3 linked regions of the Oryzias latipes genome follow. The protein of the gene in region 1 interacts with the protein of each later gene in a biochemical or structural test. Links are inferred from orthologs where the notes say so. Each region holds a gene or a part of one and is shown on either strand. Other genes may lie near its edges. The genes, in order: pdgfrb, ptpn6 and nck2.

The links.
Region 2: the proteins of pdgfrb (region 1) and ptpn6 form a complex in vitro, tested with the Homo sapiens proteins (2 studies listed by BioGRID and IntAct, with this or other methods). The link is inferred for Oryzias latipes from reciprocal best matches to the Homo sapiens genes PDGFRB and PTPN6.
Region 3: the proteins of pdgfrb (region 1) and nck2 form a complex in vitro, tested with the Homo sapiens proteins (2 studies listed by BioGRID). The link is inferred for Oryzias latipes from reciprocal best matches to the Homo sapiens genes PDGFRB and NCK2.

What each region holds. Positions count from the first base shown.
Region 1 is NC_019868.2:16,274,543-16,278,191, forward strand, and holds part of pdgfrb (platelet-derived growth factor receptor beta), read left to right. Parts: intron 1-902; coding exon 903-1,007; intron 1,008-1,269; coding exon 1,270-1,380; intron 1,381-2,476; coding exon 2,477-2,633; intron 2,634-2,849; coding exon 2,850-3,016; intron 3,017-3,375; coding exon 3,376-3,488; intron 3,489-3,643; coding exon 3,644-3,649. UniProt on the Homo sapiens protein: Tyrosine-protein kinase that acts as a cell-surface receptor for homodimeric PDGFB and PDGFD and for heterodimers formed by PDGFA and PDGFB, and plays an essential role in the regulation of embryonic development, cell proliferation, survival, differentiation, chemotaxis and migration.
Region 2 is NC_019874.2:20,377,518-20,381,672, reverse strand, and holds the start of ptpn6 (tyrosine-protein phosphatase non-receptor type 6), read left to right. Parts: upstream 1-1,214; 5' UTR 1,215-1,732; intron 1,733-2,044; 5' UTR 2,045-2,108; coding exon 2,109-2,116; intron 2,117-3,065; coding exon 3,066-3,188; intron 3,189-4,154; coding exon 4,155-4,155. UniProt on the Homo sapiens protein: Tyrosine phosphatase enzyme that plays important roles in controlling immune signaling pathways and fundamental physiological processes such as hematopoiesis.
Region 3 is NC_019879.2:10,283,193-10,287,534, reverse strand, and holds the start of nck2 (cytoplasmic protein NCK2), read right to left. Parts: upstream 2,910-4,342; 5' UTR 2,639-2,909; intron 1-2,638. UniProt on the Homo sapiens protein: Adapter protein which associates with tyrosine-phosphorylated growth factor receptors or their cellular substrates. Maintains low levels of EIF2S1 phosphorylation by promoting its dephosphorylation by PP1.

The sequences.
Region 1 (3,649 bases):
TTCTTGTGGCTTTTTTTCTCATGATGGCGGTCACAAATAAAGAAAATTAAGCTTAAAATTACATTTCTGAGGTATTTCTGTAGTTAAATCATGAAGCCGGAGCAGACGCAAATACGCAGTTGGTAAAAAAGCTTATTTGTGATGTTGAAAATACACTTGGCGGGCCACAAGCTCCCTGCTTCGCCATGTTGAGGGGAAGGGGGGTTGGGGTTGCTTTGTGCCAACAGTCCTGTCTACAACTTCGAAGGAACTGTTGTGCTCTGCAGAAAATGACACAGATGTGTAGAAAATGACACAGATTTTTTTATTTTGGTCAAAAACAACATAATCATAATGAAAAGACCACTGGGAACGCTTTTACAAAAGATCAAAAGTTAATAAAAATGGGTCTTTAATGGCAAACTACAGAATATTCACCTTCAAAATAAAATTCCATGTTCACTTCAAGCTAACCTCAAAAGTTAGCTGTAAGGTCAGTGCATCATCAGACTACGCTTCTCAAAAGATGAACTACAAGTGGAGTAAAAAGAATTGGTTAAAGCTTCATTCTACAGCTGTGTGCCCAGGCCTTTGCTTGTTGTTCCTCAGAGGTGAACAAACAGAATCAGTCACAATTAAAGTGTTGTTTTCTGGGTCGTTTTGGTGCCATTGGTGACAACAACAAAAAAACCAAAAGTTTAAAGTTGTCTCACTGTTTTCCTCTCTAACCAGATGACATTTAATTCATGTCCTCATTAATAATGTCTGCCTTTATCGTTGGCTGGAAATAAGCTTCAAGCCTCACTTTGCTTTGGTCAACGGCAGAAATGACACAGATAAGCAAAAGAAGCGGCTTTCTTGTTTTGCCACTAATGTGCTCTTCGCTCTGGCTCCACCTCTCTGAGCTTTTCTTTGTCTCTCAGGTCGCACTCTTGGATCAGGAGCGTTTGGCAGGGTGGTCGAGGCAACCGCATACGGTCTCACGCACTCCCAGTCCAGCACAAAGGTGGCAGTGAAAATGCTGAAATGTAAGCATAAAAACGCAAGACAAGTCCATGTGCGTGATTTACGTGAACAACCAGAGACCCCTGCATGGCTGTCAAAAAAATCTTGACAGCGGGGTCGTATCCCTGCAACCTCAGGCAGAGCTGCGGCCCGCTGAGCTTTAGTTTGACTGCCAGGCCAATTCAAGCTGCTGACCACAGATCATTGAGCAATTTGGCAATAACAGTGTGTCCTGCTCTCACTTCTACTGTTCTCATTTCATCTACTATACCCTTCTTTGTGCAGCCACTGCTAGGAGGAGTGAGACTCAGGCTCTCATGTCAGAACTGAAGATCATGAGCCACCTTGGTCCTCATCTCAACATTGTCAACTTGCTCGGAGCTTGTACCAAACATGGTAAGAATCATAGCAAGCCCTATTTTTGCAATGAAATCACAGCCATTTAGAGATTTCTAGAAGAGTTTAATCATAGAAAAGTGTGTTTCTGAGTTAGTTCTTTAAGATAAGGCTATCATTTGATCTGTACAGAGGCTACACTGGGGAGGATTATATTCATGATAAGGAGCTTGAATCTTGTTTGCTAGAGCTGGATAATATCATAACCAACAGTTATGGGTTCTTGTGGAAGATAAAATTAATAATGTTTTAGTAACTAAAAACTGTCATGCTGAGGTTGTACACGCTGTGCTTTTCGCATTTATCAGCCGCATTACTTTCCTCGGGCTCCATTTTATTTTTAAGTAAATAGACACCCCTTCCCATTTTTTCTGTTCATGTTTAAGTTTGGGTTCCTCATTCTTTGAGAGGTTTGGACAGCCTCTCCTTTGTCCAAATACTTTAATATAGTATTGCCTCAATCTTTTACTGTTGAATTTTTAAGTTTTAAAACTTTTGGCGGCAGAAAATAATTCGAAAAACCCGTCAATAATAAATTGTAATTCAATAAGAGCTCTTGTATCTCATAAAATGGTGGAAATTTTGTTTTTGTTTAGAACAAATGTTTATTTTGTAACATATAGTATAACTGCTTTCTAATAGGGATTCCACAAACATACTATTTGATCATAACAAATGTATTTGATAAGCTACAAAATATTCACCAAAATAAAAGTCTAATTTGACCTCCGTTCTGTTTGCTGTTTGCTCCAAGTGCTACATGGTCCATCAACAGGCTGAAGATTTGTGGGTAAAATAAAAGCTAATCAATAAATAAAAATATTTATACTTCTGGCAAAAGATTATTTATTTTTACCGTTAATTAACAGTTAATGGTTGCTGTTAATTTACCCATTTTAATTGGAAATGACAAAAAGTTATAATACAATTAACTGCAGAGAAGAATCTCAGCTTTATTTTTATTTGAACAAAAAGTGACATGCCCAGAATTTTCCATGCAGTTTCATATTATGTCCTCATTATAAATAGCATTGCTAATAGGCAATTTTCTGCTCTTTTTCATAAATCTGTGTATGTTCTTTGTCACCACATGCAGGCCCTCTCTATCTGGTGACCGAGTACTGTCGCTATGGTGATTTGGTGGATTACCTGCACAGGAACAAACACACCTTCCTGCAGTACTACGCCGAGAAGAACCAGTACGACGACTGCCTCATTTCTAGAGGAAGCACCCCTCTCAGTCAGAGAAAAGGGTAAGGGGGGCAGAAAAACATATGAGATGTTTTATAAAACAGACTTTTTCCTTGGAATCCTGTCTCATTCCAAGAAACTGCTGCAGATGGATTTATGAAGTAGACAAATGGAGCCTGTTACAGATGTACAGATGTTTCACATGAGGAGGCACTACAATGCATATTTAGATATAGGTCAGTTAAGACTTTTTTTCCTTGCTTTTCTCTCGTCTTCAGCTATGTGTCCTTCGGCAGTGAGAGCGATGGAGGCTACATGGACATGAGCAAAGATGAGCCGTCAATCTACGTGCCCATGCAGGAGCAGATAGACACCATCAAATATGCTGACATCCAGCCTTCTCCATACGAGTCCCCCTACCAGCAGGACCTCTACCAAGATCAAGGTTTGCCCCGGCTGCTGTTAGATTTATGTCTGCTAAGTTAAGACAACTGTTGAATGTTGGTAAGAATCAATTTTCCATTTATGTAGGAGTGAATGAGGATGACAAACAAAGCATGACAAACACAGGAAACAAAGAAAATCAGAGAGATATGTGTGAAAAATAGGATGTGAGGCCACGTACTGCTGCTTTCAGAACTAGAAGTTCTAAACTCAGCTGTTTTTATGGATTAAACACGGATATGTGTGTTTTATTATGCTTTAGCAGAAAAATACAGAATTTTTCCTAGAATGTTGCAAGTTTTTTGGATGAAAAACGTATTCCTTCCTCACCTGTGTGTCTTTTCACCTCATTTTCTCCAGGAAGCACCAGCCTGGACTTAGTGATCAGTGATTGTGCCAGCCTCACCTATGAAGACCTTCTAGGTTTCAGCTATCAGGTGGCAAAGGGGATGGAGTTTCTCGCCTCCAAAAATGTAAGCTATCAAACAATCATCTTTCCGCTTCCGCCACCAACGTATCCCTTTATTTTGTTTTAAACCATTATTTTGAAAAAGTTAGTTTCAAACATGACTTGTATTTATTCGAGGAAAGAGGAAGAATAACTCAATTTACTTTTTTTCCAATGCAGTGCGTC
Region 2 (4,155 bases), on another chromosome or scaffold:
TTAGCTTGCCAGGAACTGGCACAATTCAAATTCAGTTCTCCATCAAGCAGCTGTTTATAGCAGCATTTTAAATATGATATTCAGACTTTTAAACATCAAAAGCAACAATAACATTTAAAGTAACAACAACCATTAAACCGACTTCAAAGCTACAATCCATCCATCAGTTCTCTGAACCTGCTGAATCCCTTTCAGGGTCATAGGGTTGTTGGAGCCTATCCCTGTTACTGTTGGATAAACCCTGGAGAAGCAGCCAATTTGTTGCAGGGCTTAAAGTAACTAAATATCTAAAATCAAAATAAAGGAGTTGTTTTTCCCTGAAGAAAAAACATGCACTCAATCAATTCTATTCCTACTGATTGGTTCATTTAATAAGATCAACAAACTATAGATGTTTCTCTGTTCACCTTTTTTATGAGGCAGAAAATGCTCAAAGTATCAGTTTGCAGCGCAGTGCAAGCAAACCTGATAGCCCAAGTGAAAAGATCAAATCAGGAACCTTTTTTCCATCACTGTAGGTGTACAGCCATTCTATACGTGTGTGAAAAACGTCTGCCTTTGTCTGAGATTTGAAGCCTTAACATCTGAGAAACAAAGAGACCCCAAACCAAGTCTGACTGCAAAGCGCAAGTGAGGCAAATAATGCAAACAACAATAGCGGGCGTTAACCCCGACGACACCTGCAGGGCTGCATGTGTGTGTTTGTTGGTGCAGGGGCGGGGAGAGCTGCACCATGTACTAGAAACTACACACTTATTCACTTTTTCCTTTAATTTTTTGCTGCAAACACATAAAACCACCAAAGTCCGCTAGTCACTGAACGATTTTACACCTCATGTAGGAAACCATTATTTTCCACTTACATGCTATCTGGTTGTGAGGAATTCATGAAATAATTGCTACTGTATTTGCATTTTCATTTGTTGTGCATTTGCTTCTACGCAAATTTTTGTGTTGTTTTTAGGGATACAAAAAACTCCCCTAAAAGTCACAATATGTACTTTGTGTTTGTGGCTGCAGATAATTTACTCCGTATAAGGATAAAGCAGCAATTTTCAAGGTGCTGGATCGGCGTTCTTTAAATTAAAACAGTTGACAACAGCACATGATATATCAGCTTGCAGCAGCACACGCACACATGCAGCCTCACACATGCAGAGGGGGGAAGGTTCAAATGAGGAAGTGTTCTGTTCTGACCTTTGTGTTTCGCACACTCGTACACACCTGGAAGTAAAGAACAGAGGGCAGATTCAGCCGACAGGTGGAGGAAACTTTGCAAATACTTTCTGTTAGACAAAGAGCGGGCATATTTGTGCATTGATGAGGAGATGGAACTGCCTTTTTGGAGGGTGTTTTTCAACCATACGCCTGTTGGAATTGCCGTTGTCTCACAGCTCTGAACAGAGGAGTCATCTAAAGAAGCTCTGCAGCTGTTTTTCCAGAAGACGGAGGTGATGGAGTTGAAGCCTTCTCTGCTCTTAGATTGGCAACGTTTTTATTTTGGTCATCAATAAAAGAAAAAGAAAAAAAAAAGACACCATCTTTATCTGCTTGAGGAATTCCGGCCTGTCAGCTATTTTGGTTCCTGTCTTGCTTTCACTACTTTGTGAAAGGAGACGTAGAAAGGAAGGAAGGGGAGAGCGTATGAGCACGACGCAGAGGAGGGGAGACAGACACATACAGCGTCAACGTCTCGACCAGTGTCAGTTGTTTTCAGGAGCAGCTGAGGAGAGTAAGTGTTTACCTGCTTTTGCTGTTGAAGGGAAGACTGAGAACCGGGGTCAGCGGCGGTCCGCTGGTGGGTGGTGGCGGGGCAGGGGTGGGTATTAAGTTAATGTGTTACACCAGAGGGAGAGCAAAGGCAATTAGATTTAATTGATTCTTGATAAAAATATCTTAAGTTGAAGGTCAAGTTAGCGCTTGACATACCAAATGTGTTTGCGGTAAATGTACAATTCAAGTAGACCAAAAGTAAGGAAGCTGCAAAAACTACACAAACTTTCAACGCCAAAGTGTGTGATCTGAGTCTACACATGTGCCGCAGGAACAAGCGACTCTTCCCAAATCGCTCTTCTTCTCTTTAGTCCCAGAAAAAGTGAGGAGACGCCATGGTTCGGTGAGTCAAGCCTCTGCCGGACACATCAAACTCTGGTTTTGTTCTTTGTGTTTTGTGCAACAACTTCTCTGTTTCCATTCCTCCTTTTGTCTATTCCCTGCTGCTGGCCTGTCCTGCTCCTCTTCTGTCATGTCATTTGTGATCCCTCGTCAGCTAAACCCTGCAAGTTCAGTATAAGAGACTGGGACATAAATAAAGTGTTTAGGTTTCAGTTCTGTTGTTTCCTCAAAGCTCCACAGTGTCAGACAGATCATGTGTTCGAAAACAGTTATTAACCTTTTTTGTGCAATATGTCAGATTTTAAAAACCTGGTTATTCGTCTAGCTAATAAGGCTGTAAAGCAACATAATTTATTAAAGTACGTCAGCATTACTGACTATGCCCTAATGCACGCTTTGTTTTCCTGATGATCAACAAATTGCATGTAGGTAAAGTGAAAATAGTTTCTGAAGGTTTATGTTAAACCCTTATTGGATCAAGGATTTGGACTGTGGTTCATCACATGAAATTGTCTTTTATCTTTCTTAGGCCAGTGAAACCAAAGGCTTTAATAAAACCTTTAATTTATCACGTTAAAGTCACCCTCTGCCTTAGTATTATTTATGTTTGAGACTCTAAAACAAAAAATATAAAAATGAATATGTTGATTTTGAGGATTTTTACAAAGAATCTACTCAAGATTGTAATGAAACCTAATAATGTTTAAAAGATCATCACCTGAATTTCTTCCCTTCTTTTATTAAAAAGTACAGCTTTTCTCTCCATCTTTACACTTTCTTGCACCCCTGATCTTGTCGAGAAACTCCCATCTCTCTTTTGCGTATGCGTGCACCTGGATTTTCTTGGTCTATTTAAAGCTGTACATTTTAAATCTATGTGACACATGTATGCCTTCTACTAGGTCAATGTTGTTGTGCTTCATCTTTTCTATCTTTGTGCGTCGATCCAGGTGGTTCCACAGAGACATCACAGGCCTGCAGGCTGAGGAAATACTGAAGCTGCGAGGCATTGACGGAAGCTTTTTAGCTCGACCCAGCAAGAAAAACGTTGGAGATTTCTCCCTGTCTGTCAGGTAATGTCTGGTGTGAACAGATGCAGCACATGAGCTGCATCTGCAAAACTTCTTTCAAGTTTTGCAGCCTTTATTTGATGATAAGAAAATAAGCTGAGAGCTGCAGGCTCCCGCCAGGGCCTATATTTTGATGCGAATGATCTACGCACACATGCCAGTTTTGTTGGAGGCCTTTTCTTAAAGTGAGTAAAAGTAGCAGCAATGGAAGCGATTCTTATAATTTATAAAACTTTGCGGATTGAAAAAAAAGGTTGTTACAGAACTCCAAAAGACGTGGTTGCATCTTCTTTGAACAACAGCAGAAAATTAGTCAGATTTGCTCATTTTAGATGTCTTATCTGTAACTTCTTACAGCAAAAGATCCCTTTCCAAGCTCCACTTTGTGAAAACAGTTAGCACTTTCCAATTTTGTGTGAAAAAGTGCACAGCTCTAAATGATCTACTTACTCCCAAGGCCACTTTCTTAGAAAAAAATGCATTTTGGTTAATTCTTATCCTTTCATTTGGATTAAAAAACAATAATTCTAACAGAAAAAACATGTTTTTATGTAAAAAAAAAAAAAAAAAAAAAAAAAAAGAGTCTGAAAGCTTGATCGACAGTTTGATGAACCAAAAATGTTATTTTTGTTTGTAAAATTGTCTATTAAATCTGATTTTTTATTTATTCCGATGCTAAAGCCGCATTTTTCTAATATTTCTCCTCCTTTGGCCGCCCAAGTTGAGCTTAAAAATATGGAAAATAAATTTGTTGTTACACATGCTGCCAAAAATCTTTTAATAGGATCGATTGACTTCGATATTTGATAAGCTCGCAGCTGTAGCCAGGCTGAAAAGGACCATCACGTTTATGTCGGTTTACTGAGTATAAAAGTCCTCACCTGGTGCTTTTGTACCTGCTGCCATCACAAAGAAACCGTTAACAGTTTTCTTGGTGTGGCCTTGGTGTTTTTGTTTTTTCCTCTCCAGG
Region 3 (4,342 bases), on another chromosome or scaffold:
GGTTGATTGGCAACTCTAAATTGTCGATAGGTGTGAGTGTGAGAGTGAATGGATGTGTGATTGAGGATATTCTACCCTGTGACAGACTGGCGACCAGTCCAGGGTATCCCCTGCCTACGCCCAAGTGGCCGGGATAGGCTCCGGCAACCCCGTGACCCCGAAAGGGAATAAACGGTTAAGAAGATGACAGGAAAGATCGGGTTTGTTTTAAAAGAAACGACTAAAAACTAAAAAACGGATCCATTTAATATATGAATAAAAATAGGCAATTCTGAAAACAATATTTAAAACCTAAATGTAGAATTCACACTCCTAGAAGCTTCACAATACATCCATAGTAGAATACAGTAATTATTGTTTACATTTTTCTAAATCACATATTCAAAATCGTGATTGTTGACAATATGATGTATTTGTAAAAAACTCATTTTTGTTATTTTAACTCAAATTAATTGAATTTGACGCACAAATTGTCTTTGGTTTGAACGGACAATCGATTTAAATGGGGGGGGGGGGGGTCATCAAGGGTCATCCGTGATCCGTTGGACCTCTAATACACACCATGCATTTAATGCATGTTAAAGTACCCTTTTTTTTTCTTTTTCTACCATGTACTAGAAAAGGTTTGGTGCAAAAAGTCAAATCTGGTAAATCTTGCTCCAGGTTTTATTTTTTTGTCTTTTCTTTGACAGCTATATTCCAATATATTAAAGACTTGATGCCAGAATTCCAGCCGGGCACAAACCACAATCATTAATTCCTCCTTCATGATCAACTTTCAAACCGTTGGCACTTTCGTGAATTACAAAGGAAACCATATATATGTCACTCCAAAATCCAAGTCCTTGATTGGTCAAAGTTCGACCTGGTTTAACTTCCAACGCGTGTTCATTGTCATAAAAACTTGCGTAGCCAGGCATGAACACAAGAGTTTTGAGCAAAAAAGCCCATAAAACAGTGTTTACATAGACTTCTCATCGAAGGTGTCTGCTTGAAAAACATGTTGCCGAGGGCGATGAGAACATAGCTTAAAGTCAAACTCTGATCATCTTTTGATCTACTGTAAAAGCGTGATGATGCTCTTTTTAGCCAAAATCAAAAAATCTGTGTCGTTTTCTAGGACATAGTTATGCAGAGTGGCAGGAGTTCATCAGAAATTTGCCTCTGAGGTGTGGGCACACAGAGAAAGCCCACCCCCACATCTCGTCATCTATCTGTTTACACTAACTCCCGCTAGCTTAGAGCCCCTCACACATCCCAACCTAACGTTAGGGGTTTCACAAAAAGGGCGGGCAATATTGCAGCTATCCAGCCGTACAGTTCTGAGCCAGATTCCACCTCAGACGAGGTCAACGAAGATGCACAGTCGTGTACTAGTGGAGGCATCAGAATGGAGCAGAGCAGGGAGTTTGTGGCTTGCCGTTGTAAACGCCTACGTCAAAGCAACAAGCTTTTTCCGACAGTAATTTTTCATCGGCTCCTGATTCACAACGATCTGAATAAAGAAATACTCATAAATGCAGTTTTATATCTAAATTTTCTTCATGTATGTCCTCCCTCATGAAAAAAAAAAACAAGAACATATTAAAAAAACTCCACAGTTTTCATCAGAGTGAGTTATTAATAGCTGACAGGGAGAATGGTGTCAGAAACATAGAGGGGGGTGGAAATTCATCTCTAAAACAACATTTCTGCTCCAAGTATCGAATTCCAAGGAAATGATGCAACGGGAGTTTCTGCAGTACAGGACCTGCAGCCTCCTTCCTCATACCTGTCAGTGCGGACTGTAGACCGGGAGAGCGCTTTGCACAGGGTGTGTCTGCAGTAGGTGTGACAAGTCTACCTGAACCACGCAAGAACTTTCAGCACCTTTAAACACCTGGATTTAAATCTGAAAACCCAAATTCTAAATCTAAAATAAAATGTACAAAAATATCCAGCATCAAGTCAGTGAGAGAACAGACAAGGCGTCCTTTGATCCACAGGGGCTGATGAGGCGACAGCATGGTGCAGTTCCCACCAACGGCCGCTAGGAGCACTGACAAGCTCGGCATGTGGCACCAGGCGCCCGGCCGATTTCTGCTGCTTCTTTGGCAAGTGTGCTTCATTGTGTGAGCCGTAGCGCTGTCAGCAGGATCTCGAACCACACCAACCAAACACCTATGATGGCAGAAATTGTTTTCCACGCAAAAAAGTACGAAATTGTAGAACTGAAGTTAAAAGAAACTATTTTAAACAAAGCCGGACCACAGCCTGGAATCCACCACCACCGACCATGGTCTGTGAGTCAGGCCCCTCTAATATTTACTAACCGAAAAAGTACAAATGTTGTTAGTGAACATTTTAATTGATGATTTTAAGTGTGGGAATTTAAACAAATTTATACAATTGTGGGGGTTTAAAAAGTGGTTCGCGAACACTGGAGCGAGATTCGAGCCAAGTCTGTGGTCAGAGTGGACAAAGACCAAGCGTCTCAACGCGAGAAAGTGACACTCCGAGCCTCCCACTCCCACTACGGAGGAAAACCTCCACACATAATTCTGTAGACCAATAAAACCCCTTTCAATCTACGGCACGCGCAGCTGGAAAGAGTAATGTAAGCAGAAGCAACTCACACAGTTGTGTATTTCAGGCTTACCTTACCTTAGTGTTCACTCCAGTCAGAATGGGCAGACAAGCGTCACAGCACAGGGATAGCGCGCGCGGGTCCAACAATAATAAGTGACCAAACCCTCGTCAAAGTGACAAAAAAATTCGTTTAAGTCCTCATCTCCTCTGGTTTATCTCATTTTCTTTCTTCAAACACTGACTAAACCTGTACTGTTCGACGTGTTGTCGCTTGTTTTTCCGTCGCAGGCTGACTGCCTCCGCCTCGATCAGCCTCCTTTCAAGCTAGGAGATACACACTTCTTCACTTCCGTTCCGATTTTTCAAAATAAAGCTAGGTTTGAACAGGGCAAATTCAATTAAAAAGTACAATTTTTGCAAAAACAAGTAAATTAAAATTACATATTAGAAATTTGAAAAATATTAAATGCAGTCAGAAAACACAGTTTAATTAAATATGGTTAAATATTGTTCATGATAACAAACGTGTGCATTTTTCCACATTTTTATGCCTGTGATAAACAAAAATGTACACTGTACTATTATTGCTTTATTGTCTATTCACCACTACTATCTTTATTTAATATATAATTAACTTTTTTCTTTTTTGAAATAGTACATTTTTAGACATATTCAACTTGTACTTCTTCAGGTGTTTTGTCGTCTATTTGACCTATTTTAAATGTCAAAAATGAAAATCTTAGCAACAGCATACAAAAATGTAAAGAAAAGATGATACGAATGTTTAGGAAGAGAAAACTTTGAAACCAAATGAATGTGGAATATTAGCAGAAACATTTATTCTTTCTATTCTTTTTTTAAATTAATGTGTTTTCATTTGCCAATATCTGTCTGGGTGAGGAACATCTAAAAAGAGGTTCTTCACAGTTTAACGGTATATGTGTTTGAAGTGTAGGTGTTTTTTATCATTTTGCAGATGTTTCAGCAGTTTCGCTAACAGCAGTTCCATGTAGTTTACTATTTTCTTTTCTTTTGAAGTCCATATGATGGCATCAAACAACAAATATTTAATCCAGAAAAATTTTCATAAGAATTAAATAAAATAGAAAGATCAACAAGTTACTTTTTTGGTCAATCCCTATCCATTTAAAATCGTATTTTGTTTTGTTTTGCTCTATGGTTACACTTTATCCTTTGTGATGTGGGTAAATGAGTATGCAATTCAAAACGTAAAAAAAAAATCTTTTATTTACCAACTGCTAACGGTCAGAAGTGTATTTACCTAATGGTCATTGAAGCAAGGCTGCAGGCCTAAATGTAATACATGTAAAATTACATATAAATTACATGTAAAATTACATGTATGTCTGTTGGTGAACTGATGTTGTTTATAGTTTACTCGTACCTTAGTTTGGTTATTTTCCTTTTTTCATGCTAACTTTCAGAATCTTTTTGTTAAATCGAGCCTGCTTTTATTTGTTAGGACTCCGCCTCAATTTCCGGTTTGATTCTGATATTCACGTTCAGCTTGATCCCCGGTCCTGGTTGTGACGTCACTAACCCCGGGACGAGAACAGGACAACGCCAGAGGGAAATGGACAGATTGTGGAGGAATATGTCGCCCCTTGGCGATAATAGCGAGAAATAGGAGACGATTAAGCCACATGTCCATTGTTATTCATGTAGATCGCATTTCCTTGCTACTGTAAAGGAAATAAAAATCTTAATTTGTTTAAAAGACATACTTTAAAAAATTAAAATGAAGCTATAGAGG